2 linked regions of the Diceros bicornis minor genome follow. The protein of the gene in region 2 interacts with the protein of the main gene of each other region in a pairwise test. Links are inferred from orthologs where the notes say so. Each region holds a gene or a part of one and is shown on either strand. Other genes may lie near its edges. The genes, in order: ERGIC3 and VAMP5.

Region 1 (3,910 bases), on a different chromosome or scaffold from region 2:
TGGAGGGGCCCACGGTATAGTCCCTAGACCTCTCCTCTATCTATATTCACTCCCTAGGTTTTCTCATTTAGTCCAATAGCTTTGAATACTATCCACATGCTGATAACTCCTACATTTATTTCTTCAGCCCTTCTCTAAAGTCGAGACTGGTACATCTGTCTCCTTAACATTATTAGGATATCAAATGGGCATCCTAAATTTAATATGTCTCAAACCTGAAATCTGCCCCCAAATCCTGTCCTCCCCTATGAGACCAGTCTCTAAGATGTCCCCAATGATCCCCACCTCCTGGTATTCACATCCTTATGTAGGCCCCCCTTCCATAATGAATAGAGCTGATCTGTATAACCACTGGTAGATTGTAGAAATGATAGTGTGCAACTTCTGAGGCTAGGTCATAAAAGAAGTTGTGGTTTCCACCTTACTCTCTTCTGGATCACTTGCACAGGGGGAAGCCAGCTGCCATGCTGTGAGGACACTCAAGCAGCCCTATTAAGAGGCCCGTGTGGTGACAGCACTGAGGCATCTTGCCAACAGTCATATGTGTGAGCCCTCTTAGAAGCAGATCCTCCAGCCCCAGTCCAGCCTTCATATCACTGCAGCCCCAGTCAACAGCTTGACTACAATTTCATGAAAGACACTAGGCCAGAACCACCCAACCAACCCACTCCTGAATTCCTGACCCACAGAAACTGAAAAAACAAATGTTTGTTGTATTAAGCCACTAACTTTTGGGGGTAATTTGTTAAATGATAGTGGATATATAATATCTCCCCACCTCTCTCACACAAAAATCCTCTTCCTCTTCTCTGGTCATCCCTATCTCAATTCATTCATTTGCTCAGGTCTAAAGCCTTGGAATCAACCTTGACTCTGCTCTCTTACACCCTACATCCAATTCTACAGCAAATTCTATTGGTTCTACTGGGGGTCAACATATATCTGTTGAACGAATGAATGATAAAGCTCAGCAATAGAGCAATCCCTAAGGTGTGAAAAATCACAACTTTGAGAAGGGTTTTGTTATGGTGGGAAACTGAATTAATGGAGGCCTTGGGAGGCCACCTAGAGAGAGGAAAGGAAGCTAAAAGTGAACAGCCACTCTGCACCAAGCATTGTACACATATTACTTCATTTGATCCTACAATTCCATGTGGTGAGTACTACTGTTTATCATCACTTTATAGCTGAGGTCACAGACTGCAAGAGACAAAGCTACATCTGAACTCAGGCAATCTAACACAAAAATGTAAACTCTTAACCTTAAGCCACTCTGCGTTCCAAAGGGAAAGAGCATTAAGGGCTGAATTCAGCCAATGGGATGAGGAAACAAACACCCAGAGAGGCTTGGGTCCATCTAGAGGAGTTCTGCCAAGGGAACAGCACATAGGACACATCCTCAAACTTCTGTTACTCAAACCATGACAGGAAGGGATAGGGGACCTCTGAGAACAGGTAGAGTACTCTACTCAATGTATAGAGGCTAGAAGACTGGATTTCAGCCCACTCTGATTCATAATAGTTGGGGGACCCTAGGCAAGCTACTTGACTTCTTTGGGTCTTAATTGCTTCATCTGTCACTGGGCTGGCCACAGCCCACTTGCCAGAAGGTAAGGCTTGGGCATGTTCAGCTCTGGGATCTGAGATCTGGCCCCCTCCCTTCACTTACCATGACGCTCAGCCTCTGAGCTCACTGGGACGCCATCCTTATCTAGCCGTTGCTTGAACAGGTTGTGTTCCACATCCAGCTGCTGTTCCCCAGCCACATCCATGGCATCGATGCTCAGATCTGGAAGCAAGAAGTCAGGGTAAGGTACTGGGATCCTAGGGTCAAGGGAACCTGGGTTTCGGAGGGTAAGGGGATGCTGGGCCTGTCTTGGGGCAACAGTGGATTAGGGGAAGAAAGTTGTCCTGGCGTTCAGTCTAGAACCTAAGGCTGGAGGTGTGAATCTGGAAGGCCACCTGAGAACCCTGAGACTTGCAACTCCCACCCATGGTGAGGTACTCACAGGCACAAGGCATGTGCGGAAAAAATACATCGATGTTGATCTTCAGTTTATCTCCCCGTGACTTGTCCACGTAGAGTTCAGGATGCACCTGGGGCAGCACGATCTCAGTTAAGTTTTGGCCCCACGGTCTCCTTCCCCACTCCCATCCCTAAAGCTCTTATCCCTAGAAGGCCAAGCCCCGCCCACGTACTACCCCCCGCCCCTTACCTCAGTGGTGAGATAATACTGCAGCTCGGACAGGAACAGTAGCAGCATAAGAAGGCCACTGACAATGGTCACTGCAGGGCAGGGAGCGAGGGTCAGACTGGCCTCTGTTCAGCTCCCTCAGCCCCCAGCACGCCGGCAGGGTCCAGGCGCCTCGGCCAAGTTCTAGGACACCCCTCTCCCCACGACCCCGACCCCGCCGCGGCCTACCGGTGGCGCCCCCGCAGGTCTTGACCCGGAAGTCCTCCAAAGTCTTGGGGTAGGCATCGAACTGCTTCAGCTTCCCCAGAGCCTCCATGGGGACCAGCCGGAAAAGGAACGCCAGTAGCCCGGCCCCTGCAGCCTCCCGCTTCCGGCCCGGAGCTTGGGCCACGCCCCCTCTCTGTCCGCACGCAGGCGCATCAATGCGCGCGCTTGGCCCCACCCCCGCCGGCGTTTTCACTCGGGGGTCCCCGCCCACCGGTGCTCTTAGCGGTCGTGTCTAGACGCTGGCAGCGGCCGCGGACCCCTGCGGTGAGGTGGTCTTATGTGGATCGACAGGGCGCCCGGAGGAGGTCTTGACGGGGTAGAAACAGTAATAGCGGCATTCGCTTGCCTTGTGCTTGGAACTGAGACAAGAGTTTCACATCAGACTCTTGGGACCTCCTAGAACAATGGTTTTCAAAGTGTCGCCAACCAGCAGCCTTCTTATCGCCAGGGAACTGGTTAGAAATGCAAGTTATCGGGCCCCACCACAGACCCGCTGAATCAGAGACTTTAGGAGTGGCTCCCAGGTGATTCCCTGCAGTTAGTTTGAGAATCATCGCTGTGGAAAGTAGGTGTGACTTTCATCTCCATTTTCTGAAGGAGAAACTGTGGCCTGGAGAAGCCAAGTAACTTGCCCTATTTCACGGCCAATTAATGTCAGGGCCTGATTCCAACCTATTTCTTCTGGACCTCAAAGTACTCTGGAAGCCAGCGCCCTTAGGGTTGATTTTACTCAAACAGCCTCTCATTGCTTCTGGTGAGCATGGCCCATGGAGGTGCAGGGCTCAAATCATTTCAGTGATGGAAGACCAGAACTTTGATAAGAGGTGGCACAGGAGACTGTGAGAGTCTGTAGGAGAAAATGACTGACACGCTAGGTTAGAGAAGGCTTCCAGGAAGAGGAGGAGGGACACTGGAGCTGGATGCCTTGTAGCAGTCTGACTCAAGAGAAGCTGAGCAGTGCCGGAGTCCCCCTTCTGCCTGCAGGCTGCAGTTTGCTAGGGAAAGGAAGACGGAAAGGACTAACTCACATTAACTGTGTGGGAGATCAAAATTTGGCCACCCTGAAATATATCTCTTTACCTTGATTGTTTTCTCTGAAGGACATTTGACCTCCCCCACTAACTGCCTAAAGAATTTGACATGGTGGCTCCTTCCTGGAACAGATCTTCCATCTGATGGCTGTAATATAATGTAAAATAGATGTTACAATAGGAAAGGCACCAACAAGCCCATCTTATCAGAAATTCTGTCTCTCTGGCCACATTCTCTGGATGGCCCTGCGAGGAGTTGCCAGACAAACATTTACATTTATAAGGGAAATCTCCATTTGTAAAGGTATCTCCCTCTCTGTCTTGGGAAGAGGGGGGATGACCTCATTTCTAGAAACTTATCAATGTGGAAGGTGAGGTCTTAAATCTGCATAATAACCTTACTCTTGTTTACTGTGC
Region 2 (3,910 bases):
GCCCATCAAGGCAGGTCCTAGGTCAGCCTTGGCTTCAAGCATCTCAGCTTACTCTAAGGTGCCTCAGGATGGGACATTCCCAGGACCCCACCCTCCCACAAAGCAGACACTTTGCCCGCCTGCTCTAGGATGGCCTGTACCCAATGTGCACCTGCCCTATGGCTTCCCACTGGCCTAAGAAACAGGGAAAGCAAAGAACAGGGAACCAAGCTACTTGGCTAGAAGCCAGACAAGGAGGAGCTCCACTCCACAGAGCTAGAAAGGTAATTTTGGACCACCATACATCATAGCCTCTGCCTAACCCCACAGACACACAAAAACACAAACTGAGAGCAGATTTCCCTCTTTGGGCTTCTGACTGGTCAGGCCAGTTCTGCCTCATGGCCTAACTCTACATCCACATCAATGCTCGAAGTTGATTCTCTATCTGCCTGGGAACCTCAGCCTTCCTGGCCTCTGGCCTCCAGCCTTTCAGCTAGCCAGGATCTTCACTGGGGTCCAACTCACTGAAACAAGACCAACTCCTGGATCTCCCAGCCTAGGCAGCAGCCTCACCTAACAAAAGAACCCAGCTCATTTCAGAGGACGGGGAAGGGAGGTGCAGAGTCCAAGCGGGGGGAGGTTGAGAGGACAGGAGAGAGGAAGAAAGCATGGGTCACAAGCAATAAAGGAACTGGCCTTTAGACGCATGCAACTGAAAGAGACCCAGGGCAGGAGGCCCTAGTGAGAGCTGGAGGTCCAGAAGCAGGTCCAGGGACATGTCAGGGAGATGAATACCAGTGGATTAACAAACCACAGTAACTGCCTCCTCCCAGCCTTGTCCCCCACAGCCCATCCCAGTTCTCATCTCCTCCCCACAGAGCATCGGCCAACCTCCCTTTCCTGCCAGACTATACTGCCTATTGTCATCAGCAGGTATTTTGGCACTTGACTGAATTCCAGTTAAAACCAGAGAAAGGGAAGGGATCTTGTGGTCACAGAGGGCCACCTACTCAGGCAACAATCCTCATTCAGGATCCTTGCAGCTGCCTTGTGCACAACCTCCAAGTATTCCCAGTATATAAGCCCTACCTCCCCAACTGGACCACAAGCTCCCAGAGGGAAGGCAGGGGCCAATGCCCTGCCTTTGTCTGCCGCCATTCCGGGGGCCCAGCTCAGTGGTGACCGTTGCACAGATTCAGTGAGTGGCTCAACTGCATTATAGCCTTTCCAAAAGCAGCTCTGATTCTCAAGAGATGTTATCCCCTTGTGTTTATCTAGCCTAGCAGGAGTTTCGAGGGGCAGGCATCTGAAACCCAAGTAGGTCAATATTTACCCATGAGCTAGAAAAGCAACCTGCTTTGAGAGGGGGCAGGCGAACCATGACAGAGGGGTGAACTCACAGGCCAGGGGAAGCAGTAACTGGGGAACAAGGAAGATTAATGAAGAGAGCAGGGAAGCTGCGCTCATCTCTACCTTTTCTGAGTCAACCATCATCACTGCTATTGTTACTACTATATTATTCAACAAGGCTCCATTATTTGGAGCTTCTCGCATTCACACAGTCCAAGGCACCCCCACATTCAAATATTCCAAGGCAAAAACCGAGAATGGACAAAGATTCGAAAATGAGAATCACCACTAAAGACTGATGGGGCACTGGATGTTATTGTTTTCTACTCTAAATGCTACAGCTGTTGTTATCTTATTCTCCAACATGGGGTGACATTGGGTCACATTCTCCAGGAGAGCTAGCTGTGCCTCCTGCTGCAGTCTGCAGCCTCTTCCCTCACTGCAAAGCCAGGCCTGTCTGGAGCCAAGATGGGCCCAGGCCTAAAAACACATTTGATCCAGGGAACACAGAGGCCTCAGGCTCAAGTTCCTGGCCCTCCTCGGCCCCACTCAACCAGCGGAAAACGGACACTATACGCACAGGTCTCTGCTGGCACAGTGAGAAATACAGAATTATGGGTGTGGAAGGAAGTAAGCGACCAGAGGGAAAGGCCATGCTGCCTCCTGCCACAGTGAACTCAGCATAGTGCCCGGCACACAGTGGATGTGTGGACAATATTTTCTGAGTGAATTGTGCCTGTTCTTAAGAAGTCAGTATAGGTTGGGGGAAAGAGACATATATGGGACAATCAGAGAAAGTGAAGAGTTAACTGTGAGATACACATAGTGAGAGCTGGAGCTACCACAGAGAGGGGGATTCCTGAGAACTGTGATGGACAGGGTGTGAGCCCTTGATGGATGAGGTGGAACTGGGGCATTCTCGGCATAGAGAGACAGAGACACGCTCGGGACAGTGATGCAGCAGGCAGAAGATAACGGTGTGGGAGCATGATGGGGCCAGAGGAAGCAGTAAAAGTCAAGGAGAGGAAGCTCACTTGGAGGGAGGGATAGAGAGCTAGTGTAGGTTTCTGAGCCAAGGGCAACACTGAAGAGGTGCTTCAGGATAATTTCTCTATTGGTGGTAGACTGGCATGGATGCAAGTGAGAAAACTCAGGGCAGAGAGGCCAGCCAGAAGGGGAGGAGAAGTGCTGTCAGCAACAGTGTGAGGAGATGTCCGCCAGGCGAGCGGGGGGGGGGGGGGGGGGGGGCACGGAGCATAGAGAGGAAGGGTGGGCAAGACAGGCACTTCCCAGCACTGCCAGGAGCCTGCAGGGCCTGAGTTTTTGAGCCGGGGGTAGGGCAAGCAGCAGCGTCATTGGCAGGCAGAGGGTGGTAGTCACACAGGAAATGTTCTTGACAGACCGTTACCCTCTGCACAGAATATTCCTCCTTTGATGCTGAAAACAAAGCTCTCAAACCCCTCCCTGTCCTAACTCTGCTGTCTCCCCTCTCTCTTGGTTAGTGCCTAAGACACTCTATTTCAGCTGTCTGGCCATCGTAGTCAGACGGCCCTGGGCAGCGACGGGGGTATCAACTCCTTCCTGGCTCAGCACTCACGTGAGCTCAGAGACTAAGAGCAGGGCTCTGCATTGCAGCCTTGGGTTCCTTCAAATCCTGCCTCTGCCACTCACCAGCTGAGTGACTGAAGACTGAGGACATGACCTTTCTGACCCTCCACTTCCTCATCTGTAAAGTGGTGACAATGATACCACAGTGTTGGCTAAGGCATGTGACATATTATAAATAAAGTGCTTAGCACAATACCTGACACATACTAAATGTTCAATAAATAACAGCTATTATTATTGATGTAGCTCGTTTCCCTCGCTTTTTTTTTTAGCAGTCAGATCCCAAGAACTACACAATACTTGTGGTCAATAAAACCTCTTAGATATAACAGCCAAGCAAGCTCTTCCTTATTGCAAACTTGTACACCTAATTGTTTATAACCTAAATACAGAGCTTGACACGGGCCTTTGATAATCTGCATCTAGTTTATTTTCATCAGGCACTGCAGGCTGTCGATAAGGTTCTCTATCTTGACAATAATAACAGCCGCCATTCAGCACAGACTCTGACCTAAGCACTGTGCTGCTAGCTGTTTGTTTGCTTCATTTTCTTTAATCCTCACAACAATCCACTGAGGATAATACTGTTATCCCAGTTTTATAAGAAATTGAGGCTCAGAGGGGTTAAATCCACCCGTCCAAGGTCACAGAGCCAGTGAGTAGATCTGAGGGGCTGGCCTGGTGGCACAGCAGTTAAGTGCGCACGCTCTGCTTCAGCAGCCTGGGGTTCACAGGTTCGGATCCCGGGCATGCATAGATGCACCACTTGTCAAACCATGCTGGGGCAACGTCCCATATAAAATAGAGAAAGATGGGCACAGATGTTAGCTCAGAGCCAGTCTTCCTCAGCAAAAAAGAGGAGGATTGGCACTGGATGTTAGCTCAGGGCAAATCTTCCTCACAAAAAATTTTTTTTTTTAATTTTTTAAAAAAGGTCCTGCCTAGTGGTGTAGTGATTAAGTGCCCGCGC

What was found.
Region 1: the proteins of VAMP5 (region 2) and ERGIC3 interact in binary tests that used the Homo sapiens proteins (3 or more experiments, as listed by UniProt). The link is inferred for Diceros bicornis minor from reciprocal best matches to the Homo sapiens genes VAMP5 and ERGIC3.

The regions. Positions count from the first base shown.
Region 1 is NC_080758.1:24,185,278-24,189,187, forward strand, and holds the start of ERGIC3 (endoplasmic reticulum-Golgi intermediate compartment protein 3), read right to left. Parts: upstream 2,564-3,910; 5' UTR 2,512-2,563; coding exon 2,424-2,511; intron 2,288-2,423; coding exon 2,217-2,287; intron 2,098-2,216; coding exon 2,010-2,097; intron 1,790-2,009; coding exon 1,670-1,789; intron 1-1,669. UniProt on the Homo sapiens protein: Possible role in transport between endoplasmic reticulum and Golgi. Positively regulates trafficking of the secretory proteins SERPINA1/alpha1-antitrypsin and HP/haptoglobin.
Region 2 is NC_080751.1:4,407,534-4,411,443, forward strand, and holds the start of VAMP5 (vesicle-associated membrane protein 5), read right to left. Parts: upstream 2,567-3,910; 5' UTR 1-2,566. UniProt on the Homo sapiens protein: May participate in trafficking events that are associated with myogenesis, such as myoblast fusion and/or GLUT4 trafficking.